Elephas maximus indicus: one gene and its partner. The protein of the gene in region 2 binds, or shares a complex with, the protein of the main gene of each other region. Links are inferred from orthologs where the notes say so. Each region holds a gene or a part of one and is shown on either strand. Other genes may lie near its edges.

Evidence for each region. Proteins that work in one complex are often made in the same cells at the same time.
Region 1: NUP188 (region 2) and CETN3 share a complex: the UniProt entries of both Homo sapiens proteins name them as parts of the nuclear pore complex. The link is inferred for Elephas maximus indicus from reciprocal best matches to the Homo sapiens genes NUP188 and CETN3.

Annotation. Positions count from the first base shown.
Region 1 is NC_064820.1:97,036,338-97,043,544, forward strand, and holds the start of CETN3 (centrin-3), read right to left. Parts: upstream 3,022-7,207; 5' UTR 2,905-3,021; coding exon 2,888-2,904; intron 1,057-2,887; coding exon 921-1,056; intron 1-920. UniProt on the Homo sapiens protein: Plays a fundamental role in microtubule-organizing center structure and function. As a component of the TREX-2 complex, involved in the export of mRNAs to the cytoplasm through the nuclear pores.
Region 2 is NC_064827.1:79,928,698-79,936,067, reverse strand, and holds the start of NUP188 (nucleoporin NUP188), read right to left. Parts: upstream 3,012-7,370; 5' UTR 2,965-3,011; coding exon 2,933-2,964; intron 1-2,932. Other genes in the region: DOLK (dolichol kinase), read left to right, coding at 3,380-4,996; PHYHD1 (phytanoyl-CoA dioxygenase domain-containing protein 1), read right to left, coding at 7,335-7,370. UniProt on the Homo sapiens protein: Component of the nuclear pore complex (NPC), a complex required for the trafficking across the nuclear envelope. Required for proper protein transport into the nucleus.

The DNA of each region.
Region 1 (7,207 bases), on a different chromosome or scaffold from region 2:
TAGGGTCCCAAATCAAGAGAGTAATAGCAAGAATAGAAGAAATGATCAAATGTGGGTAACTAAAAAAAGCTGTAGGAAGAGAGTTTAAGAGGACCTCAAGACTGAGAAAGCCAGACTTACAGGCCTAGTATTGCTTTTATACATTCCGTCCTGTCACTGCACAGTTCTTTCCCCTACTCAGAATTTTGTGCTTAAAAATCCCATACAAAGTTACCAAAATTAAAACCACCAAATAAACATTTATTATATTCACATACCTATGAAGGCTACTAGAAAGCCATTCAAAACTGTTTTTCTCTATAATTTGGGAACAGATAAGGGTAATGGTCGAACATGATGAACACAATGTCACTGAACTGTACATATAAATATTATTGAAATATCAAATACTTTGTTGCATATATATTTACCACAATATTTAAAACAAAAACAGTTTCCCCTTGTATGTTTATAAATAATTCTAGGCGTTAAAGTTGACATTTTTCCCCATTAACATTAGATATCACTTCTGTTGATTGCATCAGAGACAGTAGATTAAAACCTTATTACTAACATGTTAAAATTAAAAAAAAAAAACACTGAAAAAATGATTCATCAAAAAAATGGCAAGAATATAGTAAGAGCTGTTTAAATCCCATAGTTTGAAATCTTTCAATTACATGAATGAAAAATAAGTAACTGCCATAAGAATATATGCAAGGTTTCAAATACTGCTTAAAATACTATTTAAAACTCATTTTACCATGTAAAAGGGAGTTTTGAAAAGGTATGTAAGGGGTAGTATTCAGTTTTATTATAGCACTTTACTGTGAAAGCTTAAAATTGTTTCATATTTCTAAAACCAATTCAGTTAAAAATATTTAAACTATCAACAATGCAAATCATTATAACACAGACATGTATTTTAAAGGATTTATTACCTTTAACTCATGATAATCTATTGCTTCATCTTTGTCTGTATCAAATAGTTCAAACGCATCTTTAATTTCTTGCTTCTGTTCCTCAGAGAGTTCTCTTCGCTTTTTTCTCTTTGTTTTGTCTACTACAAGCTCATTTCTATGAAATGGACAGAAAAAAGTTGTTAGTCTACTCTAATTCTATTCTCTTATGCCTCTGAATTATTAAGACTGCAAAAAGACAAATAAAAAATTATCCAGTGAATGATTTTCTAAAAAGGAATTGTCTGAGCTTCTATACATTTGCCCCTTCCCAGAACCGAAGAGCGTTACAGGTTTTCGAAAGAAAAACAAAGACCTAACTTTCAGTCCTCATAGCTTTGTGTTAATTCCCGTTAATATTACTGTGGAAGCAACAACAACGGTGATTAAGAAACATTACTTTTACGTCACCCCAAACAAAAAACATTACTTTTATTAAACCCCAAACAACAAAAAAGCAAACTTTATTCATATCATCCTACAATATATAGTTAAAAAAACCTCCAAGTAAAATTCATAATTTATGAAACCATACATACTCGATTTACTTTTGAGAGTGCTTATAATTTATCCTAAAAATTACTACAAAAAAAAGTAAATAAAACCATATAATTTATCAATTAACTTACTAAAGATTTTGGCACTGCAGGTTCAAAACGTTTTTACATTACATATTGCTAATGGCTTGGCACTTTGTGATTTAATCCATTGATATTAACAAATCAACCAAAATACTGAATCTAAACATATCACGAATATTAAACGCCAAAAAGAAAAAGTACATAATACTGTGCTAATCCTATATAGATAAGATGAAGCTTCAATGGTCTTCTAGTCTCACTTAGCATGTAAATTATAAATTTCTTATAACAAATTCTGGAAAAGCTTAAAGAAAAATAAAAGCAAAATTTATTTCAAAAGCCAGAAGAAACGTCTTAAGAGACGCCAATCTTTATGTGGTCCAAATTTTCAAATGGTGATGCAACACATGTATAGACAAATCGTATAAAACTTTATAATGTAAAATCCAGTTGATTTTATTAGAACGTGTTATTCGCGCTTCCAGTTGTTTTGGTCTCTGAAATCCGCAACCAAAAAAAAAAAAAAAGAGATGGCTAGAAAGTGACCAGGAGGTGAAGCATGAGAAAGGTAAGGAAGATCTTTCTTTCACAAGAGACCAGGCTTCACACAAGCTTCGACATTCCCGGGGTCAGTCGTTACCGTCCCAAGATTCCGAGAGGACAAGTCTGCAACCGACCGACAACTGACTCAATCCAAGAATACCACAACTGCCCATTAGTAGAAAACAGCACCTTTTAGAGTGGCGTAACTACACGGGTATTTTTCTGATAAAACGTCTACATGGGGATGGTGGAGGGAGAAGCAAGTGGAGCGGGAAGGTTAAAGGCTAGAATGAAGGGAAACGAACTCAATCTAAGGAAATCTAAGATACTGTCAACTAAAGTCACTAAAACGTGTCTCCAATTATACCGCAAAGCAGGGCCCGGGGAGAAGAACAAGGAGGAGCTTTGCATTATTTCCAAAATTTATAACTGAGTGATTACGTCAGCAACTTAACAGAAGGTGGGGGCCGGAGGTTGGGATCACTGAACTCAATGAAGGATACGATACGGCCTGGTTTTTCGCAGGGACACCCAGAGCAGAAAGCCTCGCGATATTTCACTCCCTCCACGATCGCTAACACAGTAGCTGCCTCCTTGGCAGTCCAAAAACCGAAACGGGTTGACAGAAACGATCACCTTAGCCGGAACTCATCACCTACGGAACACCAAGGGCTCCTAGCGTAAGGGTTCCGCGGTCAAGAAAGTTGGCCGAGATTCCGTCCCCGCCCCGCTCCTCATCTCAAACTGCCTTCTTTCCACACGCCCACACACCCACCCCTGGGTCCCGCTCCGGGGTGTGGAGAGCATTGTCTCCTCATTACCGACCTCAGAGCTAAACTCATGTTCTCTTCCGACAGAGACGTTCCTCTCAAGAACGAGTTTAACACCCTACCAACACAGCCCGACTCGCAAAGCCCGTTCAACAGACACCAACGGCGCCAGCAGCGTCAAGGAACGCCCACAAGACAACACTTCTGAGTTGGATTGGTTGAAACTGGCTAATATCCTGCCTATTGGGGCGGGGGCCCTCACTGACTCTGTATTCTCATTGGACAGGTTTAACGTCAAACAACGAAACGTCCTTGCTCGTCCCTCCTGCAGCTCGGTCGGCCCTTTAGATTGGCCAGATGCTTTTACCCGGAATCCTTTGCGGGGCCCGGATCTGGTCGCCTCTGCGGTGTTTGGCGGTGGGGTGGGCGAATGTCCGCTTGAGAGCGCCGTGTACTGGCTGCTGTTTGGAGACGAGCTACCTCGGAAGAAAGGAAGGCAGGAGTCATGTTGCAAGCCGTCTCCCAGCTATTTAAAGGGAGCAGATGGGTGATGAGGTCAGCGAAACTTGGCGCCACTGTTTTCTTAAAATTTTGGATGGCCCAAGAGCTAGGGAGTTTAAAACCTATCCTTAAGTGCCTCCTTTTCCCTGTTGTGATTCCAGGAGGTATAAATCTGCATTTTTCCCCCCTTATATTTGTCCTAGTGATTTCAAAGCAGGTCCTATGGGTAATCACACCTCTTCTCCCCCCTCTTTCTCCTTTGAACTCCTTTGACGGGATTTGTCCACTGTGTCTCATATTATTTTCCAGGGCTGTAAACTGTTCATACACAAGGTGTTACTTTCAGTAACAAACCAAGTTTTTTGATGCTCATTTGGCTAATATGGTTACTTTTTCATCTCCCCACTATGTTGAATTTCTTGAAGGCCAGACTTGTATCTTCCATTTAACTCTAGTCCTAGCAACCTAGCACTATTTGAAGGCCATGGTAGGACTCTCACTTTTCACGTGGAGCCTGGGTTAGATTCCTGGCCAGTGCACCTCAAGCACAGTCACTATATGCCTGTTAATGGAGACATGTGTAGTTATGATGCTGAACAGATTTCAGCCAAGCTTCCAGACCAAGACCAGGAAGAAAGGCCTGGTGATCTGCTGAAAAATCATCCAGTGAAAACCCTATGGCTCATAATGATCAGATTCCATTGTGCATGGTGTCCCTATTAGTTGAGGGTGAACTCAATGCCACTAACAATCCATACACTGTCTAATGCATCAAAAATATGTGCTGCATTTCATAGAATCTTGCTGGGAAGAGTACTGAGCTAAGCTGCAAATCTCGTAAACATGAATAAAATCCTGGGAGGGAGTGTGTGAGTAAGGAAGAGAGAAAATATTTAACTTATTAACATGATATAAAGCAGTGCAGTGGTTGAGAGCTTGGCTACCAATGAAAAGGTCAGCAGTTTGAATCCACCATCACTCCTTAGAATCCCTACGGGGCAGTTCTACTCTCTCCTATAGGGTTGCTATGAGTCAGAATTGACTCAGCAGCAATGGGTTATGATATAAGGAAGGAGCCCTGGTGGTGCAGTGGTTAAGAGCTAAGTTGCTAACTGAAAGGTCGGTGGTTCAAACCCACCAGCCACTCTGCAGAACAAAAATGTCATCAGTCTGCTTCCAGAAAGATTTACAGCCTTGGAAACCCTATGGGGCAGTTCTAACCTGTCCAATAGGGTCACTATGAGTTGGAATCAACTTGACAGCAATGGGATAAAGATAAGGGATGTATATAAAGGTTTAGAGAAGGGAAAGAACACAGTAGGGCTTCTTCAGGGAGATGGCATATGTGTTAGGCTTAGAAGAATGAGCTAAATATGGACAGGTAATTAGTTGCCTGTCTTATTTATCTAGTGCTGCTATAAAAGAAATACCACAAGTGGATGGCTTTAACATACGGAAATATATTCTCTCACAGTCTAGAAGCCCAAATTCAGGATGCCAGCACCAGGGCAAGGCTTTCTCTGTCAGCTCTGGGGGAAGGTCCTTGTCATCAGTTTTCCCCTGGGTCTAGGATTTTCTTAGCACAGGGATCCAGGATCCAAAGGATGAACTGCTCCCAGCTCTTCTTTCTCAGTGGCAGGAGGTCTCTCTCCTCTCTACTCCCTTCTGTATTTTATATCTCAAAAAAGATTGGCTCAAGATACAACCTAATCCTGTAGATTGTATCCTGTCTCATTTCCATAACTGCCTATAATCCCTGCCTCATTAACGTCATAGAGGTTAGGATTTAAAACACAGAGGATAATTACATCAGATCGCAAAATGGAGGACAACCACATAATACTGGGACTCATGGCCTAGCCCCAAGTTGACACACATTTTTGTGGAACACAATTCAATCCACAACAGTGCCACTGAGTCGGTTTGAACTCATAGCACCCTGTGTATATCAGAACAAAACACTGCCCCGTTGTCTTAGTCATCTAGTGCTGCTATAACAGAAGTACCACAAGTGGATGGCTTTAACAAAGAGAAATTTATTCTCTCACAGTCTAGGAGGTTATAAGTCCAAATTCAGGGCATCAGCTCCAGAGGAAGGCTTTCTGTCTCTGTCAGCTCTAGAGGAAGGTCCTTGTCATCCATCTTCTCTTGGTCTGGTAGCATCTCAGGTGCAGGAACCCCAGGTCCAAAGGACGTGCTCTGCTCTCGGTGCTGCTTTCTTGGTGGTATGAGGTCCCCAACTCTCTGCTTGCGTCCCTTATAAAACATGGTAAAGGCCTCACCCCAGGGAAACTCCCTCCACATTGGATCAGGGAGGTGACCTGAGTAAGGATGGTGTTACAATCCCGCCCAATCCTCTTAACATAAAATTACAATCACAAAGTGGAGAACAACCGCAGAATACTGGGAATCATGGCCTAACCAGGTTAATACATTTTTGGGGGGACATAATTCAATCCATGGCACCCATCCTGCACCATCCTCACAGTCGTTGCTATGTTTGATCACATCATTGCAGCCCATTGTAAAGATAGTATAATAGAATAAAACTAAAAAACTAGGCACAGAAAGCCTAAGGTGGTGGCTTAGACTGACATGCAGAATGTCCCCCTACATCAAGTACTTTAGAAACTAAGTGAAACAGATACAGGACAACCAGGGAACCCTGATCATTAAACAGAAGGATTAAGAATTAGACTGAGCTCCAAGTGGAAGGAGAGACTGAAAGAAAACAGCACACATGGAGATATACAGATCCTCAGCACCTTGCCAGCTCGCCTGGCACAACATAGCCATCTTGAAACAAAGCGGGCAGCATTCCTGGGTAAGGAGCACAGGAAGGCAACTACATGGAGCTCACAACAGGAGGAAGAGATACTGTGCAAACAAACCGCGCAGAGGGGAGGGAGCCAGGAACTAGGAAAGGTACTACTCGCCAGTGGCAGTGCCTGAGCATTTGGCCGGGAAGCACCCACTGAATAGTAAAACCACACCCAGCCAGTCTCCATGCACTCCCCCACATTTAAATGAACCAGGCCTCAATTGCCTGGAGCAGCCAAACAAGAGCATCCCCCACACCCTTACCCACCAACTGGCGGGAGTCTGCTTCAGCTGCCTGGAGACCAGCAGGAGCACGCCCACTGCCCAGCAACCAGCAGGAGCACACCTGCCACCCGGCAACTGGCAGGAGCACCTAGGACTGCTGGACTGGTCAGAGCACACCTGCAGCCTGGAGACCAGTGGGAGCGCACCTAGTGATCGGCAGGAGCGCACCTGCATCCCAGCAACCAGCAGGAGCATGCCTGCTATACAGAGACTGGCAGGAGTGTGCCTGCATTCACTGCCCAGCAACCAGCAGAAATGCCCCCTAGCCTGCAGCCCAGCAAGTGGATGGAGAGTACCTACCACATAGTGACCAGCAGGAGCACTCCAGTGCCCATTGGCCCAGTGAGAGCATTTGTGCCTATACCCAGAGCCTATCCCCTACAAAGATGACCTTTCGTGCTCTCCAGCAGATACACTAACTACTAGCATCAACCCAGAAGTACCACATGGTCCCACAAGGGCTGCAGAGGGACCCAGACTACCCAACATTTGTGACCCAATATCAGGGAAAGAACCAGCTATACCACTTACACTCAATCAGGTAAGGGAAGACATACAAGCCTAACTACAGAGGACTCCAAGTGGGTGTGATCCACCATATCCACTAGTGAGAAAATCACTCTCAGCCAACAGACACCACCAAAGTCACACATAGAACCACAAATGGATATGAGGCCTCCTGCCCTGACCTCCAGAGAATTCAGTAACTGCTAGCACTAACCTGGTACCTTAATGCCTCAGATACAGCAGATGATATCAAACTGTATAA
Region 2 (7,370 bases):
AAGAATTCATGCTGCCAGCAAGCAAAGATGTCAACTGAGGTGTTCTACAATAGCGGACCATACCCTTAACGTAGTAGCTGGCACAGATATTTGAAAGAATAAACATCAAAGAAAGGGAATGATATGGGTCCCTTTTAGGCTTGCAATCTAACTGGAACAGAAAAATCAAGAAAAACAATATATGCAGAAGTACCAACAGAAGGGAGAATAAAGGAGAAAATGGTAGAGTTATCAGGAACAAAATCTATGGAAGTAAGTCTAACTGGTTTCCTCAATACCTACATACTCACTGGCCTAGGAATAATGGGGATACAAATAAATCTAAGACCTTTATGATGCTAAGCTTAAGGGATGAGAACGGCAAAGGATATTAAATACACATTACACAATCGGCAAAAAGGAAGAAAGTACTAAACGGCATGATACTAACAACTAATACAAAGAAACTTAACCACATAGAACAGAAAAGTCAGAAGAGAGAGGGATTGCTGGGGACTGATTCAGTGATTGACAAAAGGCTTCATCTCAAATTGGGACCTAAAGGCTTGACTGAAACTTAGAACTGTGAAGCCCACCCAAGACTCGGGGAAATAGCTTCTATATATATTTCCAAGAAACTATGTGCTAATGTCTCTCATTTACATGCATAATACTCCTTTCAGCGAAGTATGTGGGGGAGACACTAAGGCACAGATTAAATAATTTGCCTCAAATTCAAAGGTAAAGTTTTAAAAACTTCACTATTTCCAGTCCAGTGTTCCAGCAAACATGGAACGTCATTCCTACAAGAGCTGAAGTTAATGGAGCCTGAAAATTATCTTCTTTAGTCATCCATCTCATTGGAAAGCTATGAGTGAAGGCTACTGGGAGTTAGAAATAACTGTTTCTACAATTCAGTCCTTTGGATAGAAAGCTGGGACACAGCCAAGCTACCTTGATGAGATATTTAATAAATAAAAGCTACCACTGCCCGTGGACGCTCTAACTTCACAGAGGAAGTATACCTCTCTTGTGTGAACTGAGATTTAAGCTCAGCAGCAAAAGCTTTCCAAATTGCAGTTCTATTTTTGTTTAGCACACCTACACCATTCAGACTAATTCAAACACTTTAACTGAAGAACGCAGGAGTTACAAGAAAAGTGCCAATATTCAAACTTTCTGCCAATTCCTGAGTGACCTTTCCAAAAGATTGATTTAAGGGTAGTATTCCTTTTTTTTTTTTTTTTTTAAACTAATGCCAGCTTGTATTAACATTCACAATGACTTTTCCTACAAAAAAAAAAAAAAGCCTCACAGCCACTTCAATACTACTCTGGAAATGATCTGCATTTGGAGAGACAGGTTCAAAATGGTGAGGTCGCTTGTCTGCAGTCATCTGCAAATCTGAGGCATCAGGAAGAGAATTAAGTTTTCTCTTAGTCCAGACCTACAGGCATTTCAGACAGAGGACTGCTGCTCAGTATAATTCCATCTGCTACTGAATGTGACTTTTGGCACACACACACAAAAAAATCACTCTCCTGATACAAGCCATGAGCAAAGCAGTGCCTAAGAACTCTAATGCCCTTTCTTCCTCCTTAGGATGAGTTTGGTAGGTTCCCCAGCATGAACAAGTCATCTTTCAGGCAAACCAATGCTTTCCTAATGTTCCTTTTCATTAAGGAACATGCTTTATTCTACAGGAGCCATAACGACTATGAAACAACCCTAAGAAAAGGAGGGCACAGTGGCTACAATGCTGTCCTGATACAATGGTTGGCATGAAACGACAGAGGAGAAAAAAGCAAACTGGTCCTCACAAGGTACAGAGGTAGTCCAGGGAAAATTCCAGAGGAGAAAAATCTCACTTTCAGCTGGGAAATTAAAGTGATGCCAGAGAAAACGGACAATATTTGTAATAAATACTAATGGCTTTTTTTTTTTTTAATTACATGCTATTCCTGGGTACGGAGGATACAGTGGGGAATACGACAAAAAAGTGGGGAAAACATTGTTGGCACTGGGAATATAAGCGCCATAACTACTTTGACTAGGGAAGGTGGGAGGGAGTAGAATGGACGAAACCTCTTCAAGGTGGAATGTGGAAGACAGGGGTGTGAAGGTTTCATTACAGTTCTGGAGTCGAACAGACTCGGATTTGAATCCTCCCTCACTTTACCCCTTAGCTAGCAGAGCGGGACTTCTGACTCATCTGTAAAGGGTACCTCACAAGAGCTGTGAGAATTCAAAAGGATCTCACCAGTGTCTGGCAAGAGCAAACCCTCTATATTGAAAACTGTATTATTCTTTTTAGCGTTTCGTCTTCTTGCTCCCAAAGCCTAGAACAGTGCCTGAAATCTCTTGGGAGATTTGAACACATCGGCTGACCGAATCAATGAGTAAAATAATGAATAGATGGGTGGATGAAAGGCTGAGCGGAGAATGAGGACAAAAACTACAAGGAGGTGGCTCTGTGCAACAAGAGAGCACATGAGGAGAACCTGAGAGGCAGGGAAGGCCCGGGACAGGTCACCGGGGGGCTGCGGCGGGGACGTGGGGGGAGGGGGAGGGAAGGAGAGGGTCCTCCAGGCGACCGCAAAGCGCCCGTTGCGCCTCGAGGTAGCGTCACAGCCAGACGAGGAAGCGCTAGTGGGGCTCCAAAGGACACACGGACGGGAAGAGGGGAAGAAGAGAAAAGGACTTGGGTGAGGAGACGGGAAGCCCAGAACTGAGGGATAAGGTGAGGAACCGGCCCTCCGCTTGGAGAAGTCCCTTCAGCTCCCCGCGCGCGGGGACCGTTTGCACGTAACCGCTTCCCGTCTCGGCGCCGTCTACCCAGCCGGGCTTCGCACCGCCACCGCCGCCACATCCCGCTCCCAATTCCCGCCCCGCTTCTGCTTAGTTTCGAGCCCGCGCCTCACAGCCAACCCCGACAACTTGGCCCGCTCCGCACCTCACACACGGCTCGCCGGCGGCCGCCGCCATCTTCCCGCGCGCGCGCCCCAGCCCCGCCCCCAGACGCGGCGCCCACGTGACCGCTCGCCTGGTACCTGACGCGTGGGGCGGAGCTTCCGTCACGTGAGTCCGGTACGGGGCGGGGCCAAGATGGCGATACCCGGGGAAGCGGAGAACCAGCGGCCAGGGTGTCCGCGGTCGTGAGGAAGGCGGCCGAGAGACGGTGTCTACTCCGTAAATTGGAGGCGGTGGAGAGTGACGGGACTCCAGCTTTCAGGCCGCAGAGAGTGACCTGCAGTGGAGTTCTGTCCTTACAACTGGAAAACGGAGGGAGAAGGTTACTGGCTGGGTGAAACCGTTGTCCTTTGCTTGGCGGTGCTGAGGGACCAAGAGTCCAAGGCGTCCCTAGTCACCCCGGCTTTCCGGGGGCCTCAAGCCTGGAGACATGACCCGAGATAGCGCTCCTCCGACCCCGGGGGCGGGAGCTCCGCTGAGCGGTTCGGTCCTGGCAGAGGCGGCAGTGGTGTTCGCCATGGTGCTGAGCATTCACGTAACCGTGTGGGACCGATACTCGTGGTGCGCTGTGGCCCTCGCAGTGCAGGCCTTCTACGTCCAATACAAGTGGGACCGGCTGCTCCAGCAAGGAGGCGCCGTCTTCCAGTTCCGAATGTCTGCCAACAGTGGACTACTGCCTGCCTCCATGGTCATGCCTTTGCTCGGACTGGTCATGAAGGAACGCTGCCAGGCTGCAGGGAACCCACACTTTGAACGTTTTGGTATCGTCGTAGCAGCCACTGGCATGGCAGTGGCCCTCTTCTCGTCAGTGTTGGCGCTGGGCATCACTCGCCCCGTGCCCACCAACACTTGCGTCATCTCGGGCTTGGCTGGAGGTGGCATCATTTACATCATGAAGCACTCGCTTAGTGTGGGTGAGGTGATTGAGGTCCTAGAGGTCCTGCTAATCTTCGTGTACCTCAACATGATCCTGCTGTACCTGCTGCCCCGCTGCTTCACCCCTGGAGAGGCAGTGCTGGTATTAGGTGGCATCAGCTTTGTGCTCAACCAGCTTATCAAGCGCTCTCTGACAGTGGTGGAAAACCAGGGGGACCCAGTGGACTTCTTCTTGTTGGTAGTGGTGGTAGGGATGGTGCTCATGGGTATCCTCTTCAGCACCCTCTTTGCCTTCATGGACTCAGGCACCTGGGCCTCCTCCATCTTCTTCCACCTCATGACCTGCGTGCTGGGCCTTGGTGTGGTCCTGCCCTGGCTGCATCGACTCATCCGCAGGAATCCCTTGCTCTGGCTCCTTCATTTCCTCTTCCAAACAGATACCCGCATCTACCTCCTAGCCTATTGGTCTCTGCTGGCCACCTTGGCCTGCCTGGTAGTGCTGTACCAGAATGCAAAGCGGTCATCTTCTGAATCCAAGAAGCACCAGGCCCCCACCATCGCCCGGAAGTATTTCCACTTCATTGTGGTAGCCACCTACATCCCAGGTATCATCTTTGACCGGCCACTGCTCTATGTGGCCGCCACTGTATGCCTGGCAGTCTTCATCTTCTTGGAGTATGTGCGCTACTTCCGCATCAAGCCCCTGGGCCACACTCTGCGGAACCTCCTGTCCCTCTTCCTGGATGAACGAGACAGTGGACCACTCATCCTGACCCACATCTACCTGCTCCTGGGCGTGTCTCTTCCCATTTGGCTGGTCCCCAGACCCTGTACACAGAAGGGTAGCTTCGGGGGAGCAAGGGCCCTAGTCCCTTACGCTGGCGTCCTGGCTGTGGGTGTAGGCGATACTGTGGCCTCTGTCTTTGGCAGCGCCATGGGAGAGATCCACTGGCCTGGAACTAAAAAGACTTTCGAGGGGACCATGACGTCTATATTTGCCCAGATCATTTCTGTAGCTCTGATCTTAATCTTTGACAGTGAAGTGGACCTAAACTACAATTATGCTTGGATTTTGGGGTCCATCAGTACTGTGTCCCTCCTAGAAGCGTACACCACACAGATAGACAATCTCCTTTTGCCTCTCTACCTCCTGATATTGCTGATGGCCTAGTTGTTGTGCAGCAGTAGTGATGGAGGAGACAGGAACATGGGGAGTGTGAATGGCCCCCACAGCAGCCAGCCACTTGGGTATGAAGAGCCAAGGGGTGAAAAGAAGATTGGACTTTTGGGTGGTTCAAATTTAAAATAAAAATCAAAGCTTTCTTGGTTTTAGTTTTGCTAATGTTAAAAAAAAAAAAAAAACAAAGAATAGTGCAGCAGCTCAAAGAATTCGAGTGTGCTGCAGACCCCCTCCCTCCACACACACACACCTAGCAGTCCTCAGAAGGGGCAGGAGTGGACACTGGAGGGAGGAAGTAGAGCATAGGGGTTAATGCTTCAGGTTCTGGTGTCAGACTAATCTGGTTAGAATCCTTGGTTGTGGCACTTAACTGTGTGGACTCAGTTCTCCTGTCTGCAAGATGAGAATTAACAGCGCATATCTCATGGGGGTGTTGTGAGGATCCAGTGAGATGAGATATGTAAAGTGTCCAGTCCAGGGCACGATGAGCAATCAGTGCGGGAAAGTGTCATTATAACCTGAGACCAGGTTCATCGTAGCAAAAAAGCCATGCGAGCCAAGGGGGCTTTATCAGTTGTACTTGGAGACCCGAGCGATCTTTACTTTTACTTCCCTGTTTCATTTGGGGTAGGAAGAACTGAAGGGGGGAGGTAGGGTCAGCTTGTTGTGTGTATGAAGAAGAGGATCAGGTCCTGCACTGATATTTTGTTTCAGCCAACCTCCTCCCCCACCCCCGCCCTCCAAGGCCTCTGCGGCCTGGCCGAGTGGTGCTGCTGAGCTGGACAGCACAGGATCTTGTCAAGGGGTCCCTCCTGAGACCCTCTCACACTCCAGTCACATCAAACCTGTCTTTGTCTCTTCCCTTGGCAGCATATTAAAGCCTTATGGGGCAGTTCTACTCTGTCCTATAGGCTCGCTATGAGCCGGAATTGACTCGACAGCACTGGGTTCTGGTTAGGACAGGTTCAGAGGGGCTGGAGGAGTTTCCTGGGAGTTCAGAATGGCTCTACTCTGGAACTCTGCCCGAGCAAGGAGCCTACACCGCAGCCTTGTGTCCCACGCAGAGAGCCTGGCACGTAAGCAGGAACTTGGTCGGCATTCGCTGAATGGATAAAAGTTTCCTATCAGCAGGAAGATAGCACAGCACATTTCATGAGGCTGAACGTCCAATCTGGTAGGGAAAGGCCTAGCACAAAGAGATGAGAACTTTGGTCCAACAAGGCCAGAAGCCAGGAGCAGAGCCAGGACCAGCTCTGGGGGAGCTTGCACTTCTGCCTGAGAATCACTGCCAAGTCCTTTCCCTCAGAGGAGGGTACCAAGACATTCCTTTAGGGCACAAAGGAGACTTAACAAATCTGTCCCTTCCTTCAGGCTCCCTTCTACTGCCTGCCAAATGGAGGCAGCATCAGCTTTGCCCCACTGATTCCCTGGGTGGTCTTGGGAGAGGGCTTTTTCCTCTGGCCTTGGTTGGTCCATGTATAGAGTGGGGGGCTACACTAAATCAGGGTCACAAACTTGCTCACCAATGTCAGCCAGGTAACAGACATGAATGAGGATGGGAAAGTGGGAACCGTGCCGGACCCAAAAGCACACATACCTCTAAAGAGGCAGCTCCAGCCAGTGGTAGCCATGTTAGTATGTGGGTCCTGTGTTATCACCTTCTGCTCATCAAAAAAGCTTAAAAGCCTGGATTTTTATGTGAAATTTCCCAATTTTTAAAAGCATTTTTAAAACACTGAAGTCCAAGCAAAACACATCTGCAGTGGCTTCGTCCTGTGGCCCCAGTGTGTGACCTCTGGGCCAGACCTAAGTCTGCAGGGACCTTCCAGCTAAGCAGGATTTGGATTTGGAAGTTGTGCCCACAGAGGGTCTGGGTACCTGCCAAACATTCATTCCCAAGCTCATCTTGAGATCAGGGCTGACTGGGAGAAAAGGACCAAGAATCCGCATTTGGAAGTTGTTTTTATTTAGTGTCTCATACAGTACAAATCAGAGTTGCACCTCAGAGGACAGAAGATAAGCCAGCAGAGAGGTGGCCAGAGCACTTTCATGCTGAGAGGCCACCTCGAGGAGGAGGATATGTTGGGGCAGGGAGAGGGCAGGGAGACAAGATCTTGGGGACGCCTCACATCTAGCCCCTGCTGCTCCTGCCACCCTCACCTCTTGCCTGCTGCCTGCTGGGCTCAGGGAACAGACACTAGCAGAGGAAAGCCCAGGAAAGAATCGACTTCGCCATTGCAGCCGGGAGGTCAGGAGAGGCAGCCTGGCATGCTGTCACTGTTTGCAGCCTCCCCTGGGAGGGGCAGTGCCCCAGTCCTGCTGAGGGCCATCAGGTGTACAGTGGTGGAAAGGGCAGCTCAGCTGT